2 linked regions of the Stegostoma tigrinum genome follow. The protein of the gene in region 1 purifies or fractionates together with the protein of each later gene. This does not show direct contact. Links are inferred from orthologs where the notes say so. Each region holds a gene or a part of one and is shown on either strand. Other genes may lie near its edges. The genes, in order: centriolar coiled-coil protein of 110 kDa-like and ccnf.

Region 1 (7,306 bases):
ACCATGATTCTGTGGGTCTGGAGTCACATGTAGGCCAGACGAGGTAAGGATGGAGGACTTTTTTTCCCCTCAGGACATTAGTGAATGGGATGCGTTTTAATCAACAGTAGTTCATGGTCACCATGAGATCAAATTTTTATTCCAGATTTATTAATTGAATTCAAACTTCACTAATTGTCAAGGACAGAAAAGAATCCGTGTCCCCAGTAATTCTGCTTCTCTCACCTGAGACTTGCTAAATTTCTCCAGCATATTTTGTTCTTAGCTCCAAGAAAATTCACCTGGGGTGCTGGATTACTACTCAGTGACACTACATCTCCACCACCCCCCCCCCCTTTTAGATTGTTTTGTGACAATGCAAGATTTATTAAAGATAAGAAAACCCAAGCTTCTAATAAGTACCATGACTTAATGGGTTAGTGCTTGTAAAGCAAGCCACACTATTCCCAGAATTCTCACAAATGTGAAAAGATTTATCCAAAGTTCCCAACTTACCTGCCTGAAAAATTTGCCTTAAAGGAAAACATTTACCCTGTTTGTGTACTTAGAAGAAGAGAATTCCTACAGTGTGGAAAGAGGCCATTCAGCCCATTGAGTCAGCACCAACCCTTTGAAGGGCATCCTACCCATTCTTACTAATTCCCCATGGCTAATTCACCTAGCCTGTATATCCCACAACATCTACAAGGCAATTTGGCATTGGCAATCCACCTAACATGCACATCTGTGGACAATGAGGGGAAACCAGAGCACCCAGAGGAAGCCCACAAAGACACAGGGAGGACACGCAAACTCCACACAGACAGTTGCCCAAGGCTGGAATTGAATCCGGTCTCTAGTGCTATGTGCCACCGTGCTAACCCCAAAAAACAGCAATTAGGAAAAATAAATTGCCAAATTATTACTCCACAATTTAAACTCTATTCCTTTTTAAATACCCCCTTCACAAACAGAAATGCATACAAAGGCAGTTAAGACATGGATATTCAGGTTGGGAAAATATCAGGGAGACCTGGTTCATGAGCAGCATACTGGATCAGAGCAGTTGATGAACTGCTTTGTTTCTCGTTTTTTGTTTGCACAAAATTGTTTGCGCACCAAAGGTCTTTCATTCACTGATTGAGAATTCATCTTCAATGGGATTTGAAGACAGCTAGCTTTTACTGGATAACACAATATGGAGCTGGAAGAACACAGCAGGTCAGGCAGCATGAAAAGAGCAGGAAAGCTGATGTTTTGGATCGGGACCCTTCTTCAGAAAGGTGCTTAATTTAATTTTAATTTGGTGTCATTTTTGGCACAACATCATGGCTGAAGGGCCCATTGCTGAGCTGTACAGTTCTATGATCTACAGAAAAGGCCTTTTGGCCCATTGAGTCTGTACCAAACTAATTCCACTTTCCAATACTTGCCCCATAGTCTTTCGTATTTTAACATTTCATGCTCATCTTCAGGCTGTGAGGTTTCCTGCCTCTACTACTGTCCCAGGCAGTACATTCCGGGTTCCTATCACCCTCTCAATGAAAGAAAAGTATTTTCTCAAATGCTTTCTACACCTCCAGATGTTCAATTTAAAATTATTCATAATTGAGCCTTCAACTAAGGGGAGCTGCTGCTTTCTGTCCATACTAATCGTGTCCTTCATAATCTTATACATCTCTATCAGGCTCCCCTTAGCCTTCTCTACTCTTTAAAAAAAATAGCCTGAGCCTATCCAGCCTCACTTCATTGCAAAAATGCTGCATTCCAAATAACATCCTTGTAAATTTCCTCTGCATCCCCTCTAGTACAATCACATCCTTCCGATAGTGTTGTGACCAGAATTGCACACTGTACTCCACTCAAAGTTTTGTATAGCTTCGTCAAAATCTTTTGCTCTTATAATCTGAGCCACAATTGATAAAGGGCAACTATCCCATGTTCCTTCTTTAGAACATAAGACATAGGGTAGTTCGCCTAATTTCTGCTCCTGTTAACCTGTTCTACTGTCTTCAGAGACTTGTAGACAAGCACTGTTGTAAGCCTAAATGTCCCTTCTCCCAAACTACCTCTCCCCACCCCATTAATTTAAAGCCCAAATGATTTAATTCACTAGCAAACCGGTCCCAGCAAGGTTCAAATCAAAAACTGAGTTCTGAGGAAGGGTCACCAGATCCGAAACATTAACTCTGTTTTCTCCTTCACAGATGCTGCCAGACTTGCTGAGCTTTTCATGCAATTTTGTTTTTGTTCCTTATTTACAGAATCCACAATTCTTTCAGTTTTTAAGGTTCAAGTTCAAGCCTGTCCCCTCAGAACAGTTCCCTTCTACCTGTTACTGGTGCCAGGGTCCCACAAATTGAAACCCATTCCACACAGACCAATCTTTGATCTGTGCATGATAACAAACCAACATATCCAAAGATGTACAGATTAGCTGGATTGGACAGGCTAACTTGCCCCATATTACGTAGGGGGTGCAGTTAGTCAGTTTCCCTTAGCCGAGGGAAATGCAGGGTTGCATGAGTTGGGTGGGGAGGTGGAATGTTCGTCGGAGGGCTGTTGTGAGCTCAATTGGTCAAATGTCTGTTTCCGCACTGGAAGGATTCTATGCTGATCGTATATCCATGGAATTCATGAATCATCCTTGTAAAGCACCAATGATGGGTGAGATTGTGAATTTACTTTAAGTCATTTAATAAATGTTTTACTGTAAATAAATTATCTATAGATAAATGAAAATTATCAAATGCTATTAGAGAGAATGTTTGCCATCAGCTTGGCAAAGTTTCCGAATGGTTCTGAGCCTAACAGAGCTGACCCCTTGCACTTTCTCCAACAGACTCTCACATTACTCAACCCTCCCCATCTCTAACCCCACACACAGCCACTCCATTTTTCACAGCGACCCTCCCAAAACCCCACCCCAGCCAATAGCCCCGCCCATCTACGGCCCCGCCCCACGTACCGCCTTGTTCTGTTTTTAGCCCCGCCTTCTCACACGGTCCTGTTCCGCTATCAGCCACAGTCCCACCCCCACAAACAACACCTCTCTGCTATCAGCCCCGCCCCCCATTCAGGCCATTCCCATACTGTCAAAAATCACAGATCAGAAGATTATGGTCCAACGGATCTGTTTGAAGACAGCTTTCGGCATCAGGCTGACACCTGAAGAAGGAGCGTGTGTAAGAAAGCGTGTTTTTAAATGAACTTACTGGACTGTGACCTGGTGTTGCGTGATTTCTGACCTTATCCAACCCAGTCCAGCAACAGTTCCTCTTGTCAGCCCCGCCCCTCTCCTCTTTGTTGCAGCGTCTGACGTAAGGCTGCGTGCTGACGCCTGCCGGTGAGGGCGGTCCCTGGAGACGTGTCCATGGTGAGGAGCCGTAGCGCCATTGTGGACCAGTTGCCCGAGCTGGAGCGTCAGCGGCCGGGGGGGCGGGTGTCCGGTAATGGATGTCACGGTGGTGGCCGGATTTCTGCTCCTGTTGGCAGTGGTGGCACTGCTGGTGGTGAGTGTGTGCCACCCGGTCTACTTTCCGGTACTAGTGCTCGGCTTGTGCCTGGCCGTGCAAGCGCTCAGGTACCCGCCCGTGCCGCTCGAGGTCGCTCAGCAGGTGCTCCGTCCCAATGGCCGCCTTTCGGTAGTCGCCCATCGGGGAGGCGGCTATGATGCCCCGGAGAACACCCTGGGGGCCATCAGGAAGGTGAGTGTCCCGTTGGTCTACTGTCTGTCTCTTCTTCATCGCCCTCCAGGCTTCCTATCTTCAAACTCCCAACCGTCCCTTTGAAGCCCTCCACCCTATTCCACTTCTACAGTCCCTTCTAAAACAGCCCCTCCCCTCCCTCCATCCACCAACCCTGGCCAAAACTTACCAACTCTCAACCCCACAAAATGCAAACTTCAAAGAATTATGTACCTGAACTCCCAGGTCCCTCTTTTCTACCCAACACCCTGCCATTAATTGTATGTCCTGCCTGTGCTTTTTGTACCAAAATGCAGTACCTCGTATCTATCCAAACTAAACTCATCTACCATCTTTCCATCCATTGACCCATGCGATCAAGATTCCTTTGTAACCTTAGAAAATCTTCTTCAGTGTCTACTATGCTGTTAGTTTTGGTGCCATCCACAACCTTACCAGTCATGTCTTCTACATTTTCATACAAATCATTTACATAAATGATGAACAGAAGAGAACCCAGCTCCAAGTTTTGTGAAACACAGCTGGTGACCAGCCTCCTCTCTGAAGAGTAACCCTCTATCACCACTCTGTCCGCTGCTGTTGAATTATTCGTGTATCCAGTTGGCAAGGTCATCCTGAATCTGTGTGACCTAACTTTACCAAAAAAAAGTTACCCGTACACTCAGATCCGTCTGTATGTTAATGTTCCCAAGAGCTTTGCCATTTACAGTATAATTTATACTTAAATTTGATCCTCCAAAATGCATCACCTTCCATTTGTCTGGATTAAACTCCATCTGTCATTTCTGTGCCCAAGTCGCCACTCTATCTATACCCTTGTGTATCCTTTCACAGTTGTCGGCAATATCAGCAACAGAGGACCCAAGACCAATACACTACTAGTTACCGGTTTCCATTCTGAAAAAGCCCTTCCATTGCTATCCTCTGTCTTCTGTGACCTAGCCAGTTTTGTATCCGTCTAGCCAGCCCACCCCAAATCTCAGATAACAAGGTATAGAGCTGGATGAACACAGCAGACCAAGCAGTATTAAAGGAGCAGGAAGGCTGACATTTTGGGCCTAGAACCCACCCCAAATCCCATGTGATTTTAGTTTTTGTACCAATCTGCCATGTAGGACTTTATCAAATGCCTTAAAGTCCCAATAACCTACATCCACAACGCTTCCCTCATCGATTATATTTGTCAGTTGGTCAAAAACAAATTCATTCAGGCTGGTGAGATGTGACCTTTCCCACACAAAACCGTGCTGTCTTTAACTAGTCCACTTTCTTCCAAATGTGCATATATCTTGACCCTCCAAGACCTTCCCCACCACAGGCATCAGACTGACTGGCCTGTAATTTCCGGGATCATCCCTGGTGCCTTCCTTAAACAAGGGAAAGACATTGCCTAATCTCCAGTTCTCTGGAACCTCGCCTGTGGTCAAAGAGGATATGTAGATATCTGCTAATGGCCCAGCTATTTCTTCCCTTGCCCCTTGCACTAACCTAGAATAGATCTCATCTGCTCCTGGAGAGCTGTCTACCTCAATGCAATTTAGGATACCCAAAGCTTTCTCCTTCAATATATTGATATTCTTTAAGGTTCTTTTGAATATTTGTAGCTTGGGTTGTGGATGAGTTTGTTGGTATGCTCACCAAGCTGGCTGGTTATCGTACATACGTTTCGTCACTGTGCCAGGTAACATGATCGCAGCCTCTGATGAAGTGATGTAGTTCTACTCTGCTTGGAATATATATGATCTAGTCCATAAGTTGGGTTGTATCATTTCCAATTTGTTCTGGATTTGTATATGGGATTTAATTCCACATGTTTGTTGATTGCACTACGTGTTGAAAACCAGGCCTCTAGGAATTCCTGTGGTTGGCTTGAGCTAAGGTGGACCAGATCATATAAATGTCATACTAACCCCTGTACGATAACCAGCCAGCTCGGTGAGCATGCCATCAACTTCATCCGCAACCCAAGCTACACATCTTCACAAGAACCTTAAGAATGTCACCCAACCTGAAACATTAACTCTGATTTCTCTCCACACATGCTGCCAGACCTGCTGAGTCTGTAATAGCAATTTCTATTTTTGTACCCCATTATTACAGTCTTATTGTGCTTACATACGATCTCCCTACATATGCTTCTGAATTTCTCTCTGACTGTTGAGGTGGGGCTGTAGTACAATCCCATCAAGGTGATACTTATTTCTAATTTCAACCCATATATTTTCAGAATTTTAATATCTTCTGTAGTTACAGCAGTAATATTTAGTGTAAAAAAAATTTGGTAGATGTGTTCAACTTGTCAGACACACATCAGTTACTTCAGTTGCTTGGTGGCTAGTCTTTCCTTGCTTACGTAAACATTGAAAGCCAGTGGATGAAGAATATTTTTAGAACAGTGGAAGCTAGTTTCTTATAAAATCGTAGTGTGGAAACAGACCCTTCAGTCTACCCGATCTGTGCTGACCAGACATCCAAATCTGACCTAGTCTGATTTACCAGCATTTGGCCCATATCCCTCTTAAACTCTTCCAATCTATATACCATCCAGATGGCTTTAAATGTAGCAATTGTATCCACCTCTACCACTTCCTTTAGCAGCTCATTCTATACATGCATCACCCTCTGCATGAAAAGGTTACCTCTTCAATCCTTTGCACATCTTTGCTCTCTCACCTTAAAACTATGCCCTCTTGTTTAGGACTCCCCAAACTCTAGGAAAAAATTGATGGCTCATCACCTTATCTTGGTAAACAATATATTAAGTGGTTACCAGGATTTGACAGGAATGTGCATATAAAGTTACAACTGGGTCAACCATGATCTTAATAAATGGCAGAATTAGATTCAAGGCCTGAATGTCCAGCTGCTGCTCCTTGTTCTTCTGTATCTTTCAGTGCTGCTAATAATTGTTACAGTACTGAGGAGAAGTCTTGTTAGTAGCTCTATTGATCTGTTTTAAAGAAATATTAAAGGATCTTGAGCCTCCAAAATGTTTCAGCTTGAAACCATTTTGATTATTTTGACTCTCCACATTTACTGCTTTCTTACTCGGGAAAGCTTTTTTAAAGTTTTGTGGTTTAACCAATACCCAGCATCGCAGAGTTGCATTTCTCATCAGTTCCAATGTAAAAAAGCACCCAACAATTCTTTCCTGCAAGGAAAGAGTATCCCAAAAGTTGGCTTACAGCACAACAAAAAAATTGGTACACAAATAAAATTAACAGGTTCTTTTAACTTGTTAAATTTCCTGTAATCAGTGAAGTTTCTGGTAGGAACCTTCTGAATCTCCTTGTCTTCAGCAGGTCCTTATATGCAGTAATAATCTGCATTTATATAGTATTTTTAATATAGTTAAAACATCCCAAGGCCTTGGGGACAGAAAATGGCACCTAACCAAAGGAGGAGATGATCAGACAGATCTTTTAATGTTTGGTAACTGAAAACTTGATGTGTAATAGAATTTTAAAGAATGTCTTGAGAGACACCACCTTCAGTGGATTGCTTGGTAGAAACTTGAGAGCGCTTTGTGTACGTTATTACAACACCTTAATTCCTACAACTGTCGGTTGTTAAAACTGGCACTGAGTGTGATGTGGGTTTTCAGTTAGTTCACATCCATG
Region 2 (7,638 bases), about 24 Mb from region 1:
GGCTCTCAGACACCCCCTCCTATCTCCCCCTGAACCATGACCCCACCATCAAGCATCAGTCCTTTATGTCCATGACTGTCACCAACCTCATCTCATCTGGGGATCTTCCCATGATAGCCTCCTAGCTCACAGTCCCCCAACTCCTGCGGCTCGCTTCCACCTTATTCCGTAAATCCACAAACAGGACTGCCCAGCAAGTCTCTTTGTTTCCGTCTGATCCTGCCCATAGAACTTATTTCTTCCTGCTTGACATTTTTTTTTCTCCCCTTGTCCAGTTCCTCCCCAGTTTTATTTGTGATTCTTCTAACACTCAGAATTTTCTGTTCACAGACAGCAGTTGCCTCCTGTTCAACATGGACATGCAATCCTTTTGCACATTCATCCCCCATCAAGATGGTTTCAGGGTCTCCAGTTCTTCCTGGAAAGAATGTCTTAACTGACCCCATCCACCCCACCCTTTTCCATCTGACTGAACTCAGGGTCACTTTGAACAACTTCTCCCTCAACTCCTCTCACTTTCTTCTAGTCAAAGGTGTGGCCATGGTTACCTGCAAAGGCCCCAGTTACTCCTGTCTCTTTGTGAGGCACGTGGAGCATTCCTCACTCGGAATGTCTTTCTCTGGTACATCCTGCCTTCGTACTAAACTGGAAAAATTTATCAATTTTGCTTCCAATTTTCCACCTTCTGCCCTGACCTTCATCTGGTTCATCTCTGACTCCTCCCTTCCCTTCCTCAACATTTCTGTTTTCATTCTGAGGATAGGCTAGCCACCAATATCCATGACAGACCCAATGACTCCCACAGTTATCTCAACAATATATCATCACACCCCGCTTCCTGTAAAGATTCTGTCCCATTCTCCTCATTTCTCTGTCTCCATCACGCATATTCTTAAATATGGGTGGTGGGTCCTCAGAAATATTCATCAGTCAACAGGGCCCTTGACCATGTGTGACCCATCTCCAACATTTCTGCCTTCACCTCATCCCTTTCCTCCCACAATGATAGAGTCCCCCTGTCCTCATTTATCATCCCATCAGCCTCCATATCCAAAGGATTGTGAGCCGCCATTCCCATCACCTCCAATGGAATGCCATGATCAGGCACATATTCCTCTTGTCAGCATTCCACATGGACCATACCCTCCGGGACATTCTGGTCCACTCCTCCTGCATTCCCAACACCTCCTCACACCCCAAGGAACTTCCCATGCAATCTCAGAGGGTGTAACTCCTGCCCATTCACCTCCACCTTCCTCATGACCTAAGGCCCAGATGTACCTTCAAGGTGAAGCAGCAATTTACCTGTATTTCATTTGATCAAGTCTACTGTATTCACTGTTCACAGTGTGGTGTCCTTTATATTGCAGAACATGTACATTCCTTCCACAAAAATAACTTCAAGCTTCCAGCTGCCTGCCATGTCGACACATGACTGGGTTCCCACACCAACATTTGTATTGCAGGCCTGCTGCAGTGTTCCATTGATCAAGCTTGAAGAACAATATCTCATTTTCTGCTTGGAGACCTTGCAACCTCTGGACTCAATATCAAGATTCAATAACTTTAGAGCCTGATTCCACTTTCGATGTTTTTTTCACTTACACCATTCTGGTCCTATGGTGATGTGGGTTGATTTTAAGCAGGCACCCATTCCGAAGCATATTATCATATTACATGGGTTGGTGTCAGTTCGGATCACCGTTTCTCTCCTACTCTTGTGTTCATTATCACTTATTCAGCCTTTGTTCAGTCCTAGCCTGCTCATTATCCTGATCCATTGTCTCCTTGTTTACTTATCTCTTTCATATATTTTTCTCAGTGGGCTTCATCTTCACCTCCCTCCTTTCTCCACCTCCCCAACTTTGTCCAGCATAAATACCACTTTTTCTATGCTCCTAACTGCTCAGATGAAGAGTCACTGGACTGGAAACAGCATCTATGCTTTCCTCCCACAGATGCTGCCACACCTGTTCAATTTTGCCTGCAATTCCTGTCTTGGTTTCAGACTTCCAACATCTGCAGTTCTTTGTTTTATTTAAGATGGTTGTGATTGTTGGATGTCAATCATCTCAGCTCCAGGATATCTTTGCAAGAGTTCCTTGGGTCATGTCCTAGGCACAAGCATCTCCAGCCGCTGCATGAATGACATTTCCTTGATGATATGGTCAAAAGTGAGGGTGTTTGCAAAAGACTGCAGAATGTTTAACGCTGTTCAATACTCCTCAGAAACTAAAGTGTTTCAAGTCCAAATACAGTAATTCCCTGACAATATCCAGGCTTGAGCTGAAAAATGATAAGTAACATTTACGCTACACAAATGTCAGGCAATGACAAGCCCAAATAAAAGACAATCTAACCATCACCTACATTAATTCCCCCCATATTAACATTCTGGGGGGGGGGGGTCACCATTGAACAGAAACTGGATTGGTCTATCCATATAAATACAGTAACAAGAGCAAGTCAAAGGCAAGGAATCTTGCAGTGATTAACTCACCTCTTAGTCTGTCCAGTATTTGCAATGCAGAAGTCAGGAGTGTAATGGGATATTTTCCACTTGAGGATGGGAGATAGCGACATTTATCACTGTCTAATTCAAATCCCATCATTCAGTTGCTGGAATTATAAAAGGTTTCATGTACTTCACTGCCAGGCACTTTGGCAGCTTTCTTTGGGTATGCAAAAAATGTTCTGGCGATGCCCTCAGCCCATGAATAAATAAAGAAAAAATGTGCCAGTTCAAACAAAATACAAAGCATTGTGTGGTGTTTCATTTACAGTAAGCAGGTGGGAAGGTGAAAGTATGTTGGACTTTATTGCAGCAGTATGAGAATCCAGGAACAAGCACATTTTACTTTAGCTCTACATACAAAGCTTTGGTGAAATCATGTTATTGTGTGAAACTTTGGTCCCTAATTTTAGATATATTTGCCATAGGGTGAGTGCAGTGAATATTCACCAGGATTATTCCTACAATGCCAGCATTATTGAGGACAGATTGGGTCAACTAGACCTGTGTTCACTAGATAATAAATGAGATGATATCAATTAAATAAATGAGAGGGTATCTCATTGAAATATGCAATGTTCTGAAATGGCTAAACAGACTGGATGCAGGGATTATTTACCCATCTGCAGGGTCTTGAATGGTCAAGGTCTCTGGGGTAGGCTATTTAGGTCTGAGATGAGGTGAAATTTCCTTACTAAAAAGTTGGTGGACTAGTGAAATTTTCTACCACGTGTGGCAGTGGATGCCAAGTTGATGAATTAAAGAAAGAAGCTGATAGATTTTTAGACCCTGAAGGCATCAAAAATTATGGTAAGACATTGGATGAATGGTGTTGAAGGATGTCATATTGCACTAAACGGCACAGCAGGTTTGATAGGCTGAATACTTGTGCTCCTATTTTCTATTTTTTTTGCTCGCCTGAAGAAGTCCAGGTCTAACAAACTCAGGAAACTCAAAACCATCCAGGGCAAAGCAGGCCTTGTGATCAACACTCAAACCATCACCTTAAACATTCACTTCTTCCATCGCTAGCATCAAGTAGTTGCAATGTCTGCCAATATACAAGGTGGACTTCAACAATTTGTTGAAGATCCATCAACGGCACTTTTCAACAACCTTTAACAACCAGGAGAACAAGGACATCAGACACTACGAACACTACAACTTGTATCTTCTCCTCCAAGTCTCACATCATCCTGACTTGATACCAACTGTATCAGAGATAATAGGAATTGCAGATGCTGGAGAATCCGAGATAACAAAGTGTAGAGCTGGATGAACACAGCAGGCCAAGCAGCATCTTAGGAGCACAAAAGCTGACGTTTCGGGCCTCGACCCTTCATCAGAAATCATTCAGATGAAGGGTCTAGGCCGGAACATTAGCTTTTGTGCTCCTAAGATGCTGCTTGGCCTGTTGTGTTCATCCAGCTCTACATTTTGATACCAACTGTTCCTTTAATACTGGGTCTCACTCCCAAACAGCACAGTTGATGTACCCACAACGCGTTGGCTGTAGTGATTCAATAAGGCAGCTCACCAACCACCCAGGCATGGTCAAGACATTTAGGAACTGTCAAAAAATGATGGCACATTTCAAAAGCGAATAAAAATGTCAACATCTGAAGCCCATCTCTTAGTTAGAAACAGGCATTAATTGAAAATGTGACATTTTGTTCAATTAAAGACTACCAACACCAAACACCATCACTCAAGCCAAACTCTGTTCCAAACACCGCGCTATTGCGCTTCTTCTTCCTGCCCATCTGAGGCGCTGCTTTTGCAGTCCGAGTGAAAAGTGCATTCTTTGGAACCAATTAGAACGGCCGGCGACGCAGCAAAGATGCTGAACAGACCAATTGCGATGTGAAATTGGGAGGCGAGGCTGTTGATTGATTTGTGGATCCACCAATGGACGGGCGTAGGCTGCTGGTATCCAATCAGCGGGGGCTATTTTGAAATAGTTCTCGTGAGATTGGTTTGAAACGGTCGGGCGCGTGGCAAGGGTTTTAGCTGTACTGTGGCGAAAGGTAGAGCTGTAGAAGAAGATCCAGATTCCTCACACTCCAGCAGAGGAATAGCTTGACCCAATTCTTGAAGGACGTTCAAATTCTAATCGTCCTCATAGTCCGGTACACAGATATTCCGCTGTCCCCTTCTCCACGCAGTTCCGTAGACACATTTCTGTTTTCGCACCGCAACGGAGTTCGGTACAGAGACACCCGACTCATCCGATATCCTCGCTGAGTGGTACTAAAACCTCTTGCAGTCTACTATTCGGAACCAGCGGCTGATCGAAAGGATTTTCCGTTTGAAAAGTGGGGGAACAGGACGCAAATTGGCTGAAAATGCGACCAGGTGGTGAGTTTCATCATCAGTTGAAATTTAGCCATAACCGCGTGTGTATTGGACGGTCTATGACCAAGAACGGGGTTGGTACCGAGTAGGGGGACTTTGGCCTCCGTATTTTGAGGAGGTGCAAAGGATGTTCTGCCCCCGGTATGTTGTGGCAATAGCTGCTGTACCCCCATGAGAGTCGAATGCCCTGCTTCCACACTGTAGGATTCTATTTTGAGGAAGTGGAAGAAAGGGCCTGTCTGAGCCCGGAGGATGGTGGGAGAGAGAAGGGAGGAAACACTTTGAGTAGTGGGTGGAGAAGGATTGGCAGAGACGTTCTTGAGCCCTTTTATTCGTTGGGGGAGGGGGAGATAGGCCATTTAGTGCTGAGCTAGGGAATATTTTTCACTCGACTGTTGTGTTTAGAGTTCTCTACTTGAGATGGCTAAGAGGCCCAGACATTGTATTCAATACTGCGATTGATATCTAATATAGATATTAAAGATGTCAAGGGATAGTAGGACCGGTGTGGGCAGGTGACTTTGGGGTATAAAATCAGTCACGATCTAGTAAAACATGGCCTAATCATAGTTCCTATGACTACAACGTCTGTTAGGGAAGGTTCTCTGCCATCTAAATCAGGGTGCCTGAAGAGCAAGGGTGAGTTTACTTTGAGTTGACTGGAGTTGAGGGTAGATTCAGCATATTGTGTTTTGGTTGGATTTGGGCAATTCTTGTGGTTCTTTTGTGGATTGTAATGTTGAGTGAGCTTCTAAGAAAGCACGTAGTTCTAGATGGATTGGGAGTTTCCCAGATTTGCTTGTTGCCAAAAATCACCCACTCTGATCAAATGGGCAGTAGTCACCTGTCTGAGTTATGCAGTCAGAGATAATGGGAACTGCAGATGCTGGAGATTCCAAGATAATAAAATGTGAGGCTGGATGAACACAGCAGGCCAAGCAGCATCTCAGGAGCACAAAAGCTGACGTTTCGGGCCCAGACCCTTCATCAGAGAGGGGGATGGGGGGAGGGAACTGGAATAAATAGGGAGAGAGGGGGAGGCGGACCGAAGATGGAGAGTAAAGAAGATAGGTGGAGAAGGTGTGGGTGGGGAGGTAGGGAGGGGATAGGTCAGTCCAGGGAAGACGGACAGGTCAAGGAGGTGGGATGAGGTTAGTAGGTAGCTTGGGGTGGGAGGAAGGGATGGGTGAGAGGAAGAACCGGTTAGGGAGGCAGAGACAGGTTGGACTGGTTTTGGGATGCAGTGGGTGGGGGGGAAGAGCTGGGCTGGTTGTGTGGTGCAGTGGGGGGAGGGGATGAACTGGGCTGGTTTAGGGATGCAGTGGGGGAAGGGGAGATTTTGAAACTGGTGAAGTCCACATTGTGTCGTTTGTTTTATCTTGGGTTGGGAAGCATGAGGTGTTTCAGCATCCCAGGGAAACAGCTGCAAATCGTCTGGCTTGTATTATCCTGTATTTGAAAAAACAATTGAATTGCAGATCTTTACTATCCAAGTTAAGAGATAACAAGATGTAGAGCTGGATGAGCACAACAGGCAGAGGAGCAGGAAAGCTGACGTTTCTGGTCTAGACCCCTCTTCAGAAATGGGGAAGGGGATTCTGAAATTAAATAGGGAGAGAGGGAGATGTGGATAGAAGATGGATAAAGGAGATGATGGTGGAGAGGAGACAGACAGGTCAAAGAGGCGGCGTGGGGAGTTAGGAAGGGGATACGTCAGTCCAGGGAGGACGGACAGGTCAAGGATGTGGGGATGAGGCTGGTAGGTAGGAGATGAGGATGGGGCTTGAGGTAGGAGGAGTAGATAGGTGGGAGGAAGGACAGATTAGGGAGGTGGGGATGAGCTGGGCTGGTTTTCGGGATATGATCAGGTGACGGGAGATTTCGAATGCAACTCTCTACTATCCAAGTGTTCTATCTGAGTAGGTTTGATATATACTGGTAGGAAACGGATTTCTTTAGTACAGAGTAGTGAGTTTTGGTATAACGTTTTCTGTGTGTTCGCATCAGGCCTGCATCATGCAAAAGAACAAAACTCCTCTAGTCTATCATTTTTTGTATTGATTCTTGAATGAATTGAGTGCTTTTTTAATCTGGCAAATATGGAATTGGTGTCTTCCCGCGAAGCTCAGTACAAGGCTGAGTACCTGGAAATAGGCAAAGAACCTTGCCTAAGTGTGACACTAAATGTTTCTTGCATCACTCTGATTTTACCCAAGCCAGGGGAGGATGGGTTCATCACTTGAAGGACTATTAGGGATGGGGAAAAATGCTCTCACGCCATGAATAATTCAAGATTATCAGATGTGAGGTGGGTAGATTTATTGCATGCATGGGGTTTGTGTTCATTCCTCCATACCTGTATTTGATGTATGCTGTCTTGGTTACGTACATCCTTTAGTAAACTAGAAAATGGAATAGGTATATACTATGGATATGGATGCAAATATACCGTGTTGCCATTTTTGAATGTTGAGAGGGGGATGGGGAGCACCCTTTCCATTCTTTATTTTTTCATCGAGACAATACTAGTGAGGTTGTGACAAAGTTTGAAGCACAGCCGTCTCACTTGGATGCTTTTAAACGTGACTACATCTGGTATGGAGTCTGGCACTTGACCTCATGTCTTGCGCTTCACAGGATGTGTTCATTGCTGGTTGTAGGGTCCTTGCATTATTTGTGTATTAATAAGATCTACCAACAGAACAAAGAGTCATAAACCATGATGTTAGTTCCCCTTAGTCACAGTCATGGAAACAGATCCTTTAGTCCCA

What was found.
Region 2: the proteins of centriolar coiled-coil protein of 110 kDa-like (region 1) and ccnf purify together in Homo sapiens (affinity purification with western blotting; 7 studies listed by BioGRID and IntAct, with this or other methods). This does not show direct contact. The link is inferred for Stegostoma tigrinum from reciprocal best matches to the Homo sapiens genes CCP110 and CCNF.

Annotation. Positions count from the first base shown.
Region 1 is NC_081376.1:55,080,860-55,088,165, reverse strand, and holds the start of centriolar coiled-coil protein of 110 kDa-like, read right to left. Parts: upstream 3,260-7,306; 5' UTR 3,195-3,259; intron 1-3,194. Other genes in the region: gde1 (glycerophosphodiester phosphodiesterase 1), read left to right, coding at 3,432-3,686.
Region 2 is NC_081376.1:31,183,262-31,190,899, forward strand, and holds the start of ccnf (cyclin-F), read left to right. Parts: upstream 1-4,514; 5' UTR 4,515-4,857; coding exon 4,858-4,870; intron 4,871-7,638. UniProt on the Homo sapiens protein: Substrate recognition component of a SCF (SKP1-CUL1-F-box protein) E3 ubiquitin-protein ligase complex which mediates the ubiquitination and subsequent proteasomal degradation of target proteins.